Linked DNA regions of Danio rerio. The protein of the gene in region 2 purifies or fractionates together with the protein of the main gene of each other region. This does not show direct contact. Links are inferred from orthologs where the notes say so. Each region holds a gene or a part of one and is shown on either strand. Other genes may lie near its edges. The genes, in order: ankrd54 and btk.

What was found.
Region 1: the proteins of btk (region 2) and ankrd54 purify together in Homo sapiens (affinity purification with mass spectrometry; 4 studies listed by BioGRID and IntAct, counting the BioPlex papers as one, with this or other methods). This does not show direct contact. The link is inferred for Danio rerio from reciprocal best matches to the Homo sapiens genes BTK and ANKRD54.

The regions. Positions count from the first base shown.
Region 1 is NC_133178.1:24,770,894-24,774,825, reverse strand, and holds the start of ankrd54 (ankyrin repeat domain-containing protein 54), read right to left. Parts: upstream 2,665-3,932; 5' UTR 2,508-2,664; coding exon 2,135-2,507; intron 1,272-2,134; coding exon 1,224-1,271; intron 1,118-1,223; coding exon 1,019-1,117; intron 809-1,018; coding exon 737-808; intron 655-736; coding exon 607-654; intron 1-606. UniProt on the Homo sapiens protein: Plays an important role in regulating intracellular signaling events associated with erythroid terminal differentiation.
Region 2 is NC_133189.1:43,503,033-43,506,864, forward strand, and holds part of btk (tyrosine-protein kinase BTK), read right to left. Parts: intron 2,126-3,832; coding exon 2,061-2,125; intron 1,975-2,060; coding exon 1,787-1,974; intron 1,540-1,786; coding exon 1,477-1,539; intron 253-1,476; coding exon 198-252; intron 1-197. UniProt on the Homo sapiens protein: Non-receptor tyrosine kinase indispensable for B lymphocyte development, differentiation and signaling. Binding of antigen to the B-cell antigen receptor (BCR) triggers signaling that ultimately leads to B-cell activation.

The DNA.
Region 1 (3,932 bases), on a different chromosome or scaffold from region 2:
AAAGCACTAAGCAACCAACCACTCAAATCACTATATGGAGAAAAATCCTGCATGCTTTCCTCAAAAACCTTCTTTTTTTTTGACCAATGAAAAGAAAGAAATATCTTGAAAGACAATGGCGAGTTGATTATCAAGAAATATTCATCCTAAATGTGAACAACCCCTTGAAAAAATATATGAAAAATCTTAGATCCACTGCTTGTCATTGGTCATAAAGGTCAATTTTTGGAAATTGAAATTTATACAACATCTGAAAGCTGAATAAATAAACTTTCTAGTTGGAGGACAATTTACTGTGATAGGAGGATATTGGGCAGAAATACAACTATTAATAAAAAAAATTGATCTGAGGGTAAAAAAAACTGAGAAAATAATATTTTAAAGTTGCCCAAAAGAAGTGCTTAGTAATGCATAACACTTATCAAAATTAAGTTTGATACATTTTACAGACTGAAGTTTACACAGTTTTTTTGTACAAGATGAATTTACCTTAATATTTTAATGACTTTGATACTATATTATTATTATATATAGACAATTTTGTCCCATAAAATGCATTTTTAGTCATTGTCACAAATATAACCTTAAGACTGGTTTCGAACTTACCTCCTCGCAGTAAGGTTGTGATCACAGGCACGTGGTTGGTGCAGGCAGCTGTAAAATCATAATGCAATAATGACACACAAAGATGCAAATAAATATGTCTAAAAATATTTGCTGAATATACAATTCTTACCCAGATGCAATGGTGTGTTCCCAAGGCTGTCTCTCTGGTTTGGGTCAGCACCATAACTCAACAGCAACTGGACTGATTAATTACAAGTGGAGATTGAGAGAGTAAAAATGGAAAAGCATGTATACTTTATAATTTATCAAATCAATCTTTCATCATTTAAAACCCTAACAATCTTTTTGGTTTTAGTCAATAAAACACTACGGTTTGATACTATGCAATGCACTGATATGTATGCAATAAAAATGTAAAGTATGTAATGCAAACAGTTTAGTTCGCACTTACCGATAGTCTCATTGCCATTGCAGGAAGAGAAGTGTAAGGCTGTCCTGCCTTTGTCATCAGCAGCACAAGGATCAGTATCATCTTCCAGCAATCGTCTCACTAGAAGGGGTTACATTTTTCAAAAGTGAACACATTATTATTTAACTGTAGATCAAATCTTACCATATAGTATAACTTTCAGAGTCATGCTGCTGGTTATTCTCACCTGTATCTATATCATTTGAATTGGCAGCTTCTCTGAGCCTCTTCACAGCTAAAACAGGACATGTGGTTGGTTAAAAAATATGGGTCATGGATGATAATAATAGCAACATAGTGACTAGTTTGACATACTGATGCGAAATCATACAACTGAGGATTTAACTGCTACATTTTCTCAATCTTATGCTACTCCTTTCACTAAACATGGTTGGTTGAATGCTAGATTTTAATTAACTATGAAAACTATTCTTTAATTAGTGTATTATTGTTCATCACTAAAGGACGAATTTACAGTTTTGCATTTCAGCACTTAATGTTTAAGGTTATATATGATGTTTATATAGTATAAACATATAGTACAAAGAAATAAAGTTTATTTTAGTTCGTACAAGATAAAGACTAACATTTCATTTTGGTTTATTTACTTGAGCAGTGTATAAAAGCCTAATATTAGTGTAGGAAAAGCATTGCAAATCCACATTTTTGTTCTTATTTCTTTTTTGACTTGACAATTTCTAAAATATGTATGCATTTGTATAATTTTGGATCTGGGTTTGTATGGAGAACTTATACAAAACCTGAAATTATCTATAGCTATATTAGAGCCAAACAAAACATTTGTAACAAAGCCTGTTGCCTATATGGCTGATAAATTAACGCCTATTCACCACTGCAGACTGAAAAAAATAATTCAAATTTTCACCTGAAAGTAAGTTAAAGTTTAAGAAAATAAATGTATTTAATTTGATATATAATAATATTCAGGTTGTTTTTATGTCTTTTAGTTAGAAATAAATTTGTGGGTTTCTAAAATTTTCATTTATAAGCATCCATGAATTATAATTACATGCAGTCTTTGATGTACATGATTACAGAATTATTTGTAGTGTGTATCTTCTGCTCGTGTACACACACCATGCAGGTCTTTTCCAATGGGCCCCATGTTCCTCCGGGCTCTTGCCAGCCGCCTCACCCTGCTCGATGTGATTTTTCCTGGTGTGCTCCGTCCCGCCTGTAGCAGCTCACCGGGCTTCCATAAAAGGTGCAGGTACCGGAGCTCGGTGTCCGCGGCCGGTCGCGTCCGGTTGAGCCTCAGCGCGCTCAGGGTGTCCAGCCGGGAGATACTGAAGCCCACCGTGCCTGCACCGGCAGCTTCCATCGGCGACTCGCCCTCCCGCTTCTCGGTGTCTCCCGCAGAGGGTCCGCCGGCCAGCGTGTATTCGCCCTCCGAGCTGGAGCGGTCACCGTCTGAACCAGCAGCGGCTAAAAGCGGACTCGAGCCGTCCATATCAATAAAAGGCGTTCACTGCACTGATGTCAGCATGTAAATGTCAGTTCCAGCAGAATGTAAATACTGAATCTGTTACACAAACCTAAGCCCGCATGGTCACACTGGCGCTACTCTTCAGCACTGGGTTTATAGCGAAGATTTTAAATAAATGAACAAGACTCTTTTTCCGTGCATCGCGATTTAATGTTGGGATGTTTAATTTGAACCGTTCCGTGTTGAAGTGAACTGTGAACATTGAGCCAAAATGGCGCTGTTTCACTGTTTTGCGCGGATGTTCAGTAAGACACGTCCGCATTGCTTAGTCTGAAATTATTGCTACCTAAAGGGCCAATCAACATGGATGTTGTTGAAGCGCTCGTCCAATCAGAGCACATGTGGTGGAAGCGTAATAAATACGTACATAAGATACATAAAACGTGATGTGACGGAAAGATGTTGGGGTATGTTCAGTATGAACAACCTAAAAGTAAGCAGTTGTATGTAGTGAACTTAGTTTTGCTGCTTGCTAAATTTCACATTTATAAGTCAACATTTTCAAACTCCAGACCTATGTCTATGTTATTTTCTGTACAAATTTAAACAACACTTTTTATTGATCCAATGGTCTCATAACCAAAAGACTCTAAATCTGTCTGCGGTTCTTTTAATTAGTTTAATTTTTTTGCTTTTTCAACATTTGAATATACTCTTTCTTTTTCTCTGTTTTTAGTTGTATTTTTCTTCATTGTTAAAGAAAAAATTTTAAAATAGTTTTTTTTTTATTTGCTATAAACAACAGTATTGTTTTTTCTATGATAGTTTTTCAATAATATTATGAAAAACCGCATCTTACATTAAAAACTCGATCCAATATCCCAGTCTTTTCAATAGCAAGAAAAGGGCAATACTGTAAAAAAATACAATGTTTCTGAATCAGAGCAATGTTTACTATTATCTGCATTAGTAAATGGGTTTTATTCACGGTATATGCAGGAATCCTAAAGGTCATTTTAAAACCTTTTTAAGACTTTTTAAAGACCTTCTCAGAATATTTTAAGACCTCATCGCTACTTCAAGCTCTCTTCAGTATAAAACTTTTAACTTAATAAACAGTTTTAGTTAAATAAATCAATGGAGCACAACCAAGCAATAGAACTCAGATAAGCTCGGAAGAAACAGAGCTTAAAAGAAACTCGTCTTTCTCCATCCAGTGGTACGCAAACTTTCATTTGACCATTTAGCCGCCTGTTTCGCTACATGTGGAGAGCGTCACATCACCTTCCCGCATTTGTCGCAAATTACATGACATCACCCCATGACATCGGAGCTTGGCCAGATGCACCCTGGCCTGAACCAATCACATGGGTCAAGCATGCCACTGTTAATATTAAAATTAATATATTTATGCTTTTTTGGAGTAAAACACTTTGGACAATGCTTGAA
Region 2 (3,832 bases):
CTAAACTCTTCATATGTTAATAATAATATTAAAACAAACTATATGATTGTCTAAGCCTAATACAGGGGGGATTTTGAAGTCTCCAGAAGAAATTACTCTCCTGGTTGTCCCACATTTAAATAATCATTACAATGTAAAAGTTACAGACACATTAATAAACCAATCATGTTATTGTGCCACCACGGCTCCATACTTACTTCTGTTTTTAGTAAATTTTCTGCCTGACTGCGGTTGATGTTCTTGCAGTACCAACTGTGAGATTGAGAGAAAATTCATGATTAAAAAAGTTTGAAAGGTTCAAAATGTTGCTGAATGGACAGTTGAAGTCATAATTATTAGCCCTCCTATCAATTTTTGTTTTCTTTAGGCTAAATTGGCCGTAGTGTATGAGTGTGAATGAGTGTGTATGGATGTTTCCCAGCAATGGGTTGAAGCTAGAAGGGCATCCGCTGCTTAAAACAGTCTATGCTTAAAACATATGCTGGATAATTTGGCGGTTCATTCTGCTGTGGTGACCCCAGATTAATAAAGGGACTAAGTCGAAAAGAAAATGAATGAATGAATATTTCCCAAACGATGTTCAACCGAGCAAGGAAATTTTCACAGTAATTCCTATAATATTTTTTCTTCTGGAGAAAGTCTTATTTGTTTTATTTCGGCTGGAAAAAAAAAGCAAATTTTAATTTGGAAAAAAACAATTTGAGGTCAATATTATTAGCTCTTTTAAGCATTATTGTTATTTTTTGATTGTCTACAGCAGTGGTTGCCACAATGGGGGGTGGGGGTGGTTGGGTTACCATGTTTTTACCATAACCTACAAAAGAAAAAAATGTCGGTAATCGTTACATTTTAAAAAACAACATGAAAATAAAAAGCCATCAATTTTGAGTATTTCAATTTTTCTATGCGACTCCAGGGGTTATAACGTTACATTAAAGACACAGCAGTAGCATCTGATGCAGCGGATTAATTTTATGGTACCATGTTAAACTTTCTGACTCCTTTACGGCACTCATGAACAATAAAAACAAATACAGACCACAGCTGAACATGGAGGATGATCTCCAAATGGTGTTCTCCAAAACTAAACGAAAAATAGACTTGGGCCTATTGTGTGCACCGTTGTGTGCAAGGTTTATATACTTATAACCACCTCAGAGAATATAGGGGGTCATGAGTCACTGGCATCGCTATTTTTGGAGTCACGGGCTGAAAAGTTTGGGAACCCCTGTACTAGAGAACAAACCACTGTTATAGAATGACTTGCTCAATTATCCTAACTTGTCTATTTAATCTAACTAACCAAGCCTTTAAACTGTACTTTAAGCTGAATACTACCTCGAAATATATCTAGTAAAATATTACGTTCTATCATCATGGCAAAGACAAAAGTTCAGTTATTAGAAATGAGTTATTAAAATTGTTATGAGTAGAAATGTGTTGAAAAAATCTGACTGACTTCGACTGTGTACTTACTCATATTTCTCCAATCCATTTAAAGCCTGAACGATGTAGTTACTCGGTATGTAGCCTTCCTTTCTGTAAAGGAGATCAATAACACTTTTCATATCAACAAAAACCCAGTCCTGATTGCACAGCAAGTTCCACCAGACTACCTTACATCAATAGCCTGTAAAAGTTTCCCCAGATATGCAAATAATTCGACAAGAGTCCACATTTTTATCAAATACAGCCTTTCATTAGCATTATTACACAATTATTGATGTCTACAACTCATAGATTTTGCCAAACTAGTGATATTTTTTAAAATTATGCAGTCTCTTACCCGTATTTATCTTTAGCTTTAAACCAATTGGGATCAGAGATTTCCAAAAGTGTGTACTCCTCATCCTTTCTCAGCTCTAAGTCATTGGTAGTCATTGGTGCGTATTCGTATTCAGCTATAACGGTCATGCCTATGCTGAAGGCAGGAGGCATGGGCGGCTCGGGGGGCAAAGGCCGGGCTGGCTTTTCCTAAATCAGGAAAGTAACACAGATCAGTTCCCAAAGGTAAATATGATGGTGTGTATTGTCTCTGGCTAGATGGATTAGTAACTGACCTCCTCAGGTGTTGGTGGAAGAGGCTTCCTGGAATCGCGGTTCTTAGATCCTCTTTTGAAAACCCCTGGTGGAATGATAATACATGTACTAATGCTGTTTAATTCATTAAACTATTCACTATTACATTATACTCATGCAATGCTGCCTTATTGCATTAAATGGAAATTGATATTGAACATTTAATTAGGGAATACATGTCTAAATGGATCTTATTGCCAATGATGAAATAATTTCAACACATTTATAACAATTTAAATGGGTTTTTATCCACTTACTGCCACCTCTTGCTCTGGTCGGTGATATCACCAACCAATTAGGCTAATAAAAGAAACTTTCTTGATGGAAAGTTGACTAAGGGAGAGAAGTTATTTCTGAGGCAAGTGCATGTTAAGATGCAATAACGTTAATTGTGATGCTGTGCTCAAAAATTACTTTAGTAAGTTATAGCAAATACTATAATGTTTTTGAACCACACAATAGTGAAGTACTCAAATTAGGTTTCTTGTAGTAAATGCTAAAGTATACTATGGTAATTACTTTTAGCTCATGAAAGTTACTAATGATACTACATTATGTTGTGTTATTCATTAATGAGGAGTTGTAAATATATATATATATACAATATAATGCTTCCCACTATAAAATATCTCTGGCCCATCTCAACACAATCAGCTTTTGCTTGGGCCACATGCCGCAGTAAATTATGGTAAATGACTGGACCAAGTCTGGCAGACAAGAGCCAAACATGGACCATATCTGGGCCAAGTTAATAACCAATAACTGAGCCTGAACTGGGCCAGATATGTTGGTGTTTACGACTGGAATGAAATTAATCATTGATCGCATTAATAAATCATTACGCTTTAGGCATGCTTTTTCTCAAAGCGACCTTATTGGTAGAATTAGTTTTTTAAAATTTGAAAATAATAAAAAAGATTTTTTAAATGTGGGTCAAGATAGGCCAAACTTACATCAATTATTAACATCTGGGCCAAATACTACATTTTACATCGGGCCCAAATATTGTGTGCAGCCTTAAAGAAGCTGCCACCTCAGACAAACCAGGGCCATGTTTGGCCCACATGCTGTATACCAGTGCCGGATGAATCCCTGCTTTGCCAGATAAATGGCAAATCTGGGCCAGAATTTTTTGCTACCTGGGTTATTCCTAAATATTTCCCTTTACAATAAATTACTATAGTATTTTACACGTGATTTTTATTTTTGCTGTTCATTCATTCATTTTCTTTTGGGCTTAGTCCCTTTATTAATCTGGGGTCATCACAGACGCTAACATATCCAGGATATGTTTTTACACAGTGGATGGCCTTCCAACTGCAACCCATCTCTGGGAAACAACCATACACACTCATACACTACAAACAATTTAGCCTACCCAATTCACCTGTACCACATGTTTTTAAACTGTTGGACTGGTTTTGTGGTGTAAACTGGAGTACCTGAAGAAAACCCACGCGAACACGGAGAGAACATGCAAACTCCACACAGAAATGCCAACTGAACCAGCCGAGGCTTGAACCAGCGACCTTCTTGCTGTGAGGCGACAGCACTACCTACTGCGCCACCATGTCACCAAAATGCTTTTGCTGTTAAAAATTTTAAACTAAAATTTGTTTCTGAACACAGTACATCATATTATTTGTAGTAGCTAAATAACTGAACTGAACAATTCTGCCTCAAACAGTGTAGGAGCCATTTGTTTATTTTATTTAAGGGTTTGTGTTGTTAATCTTGATTTCTTTTATGTTGG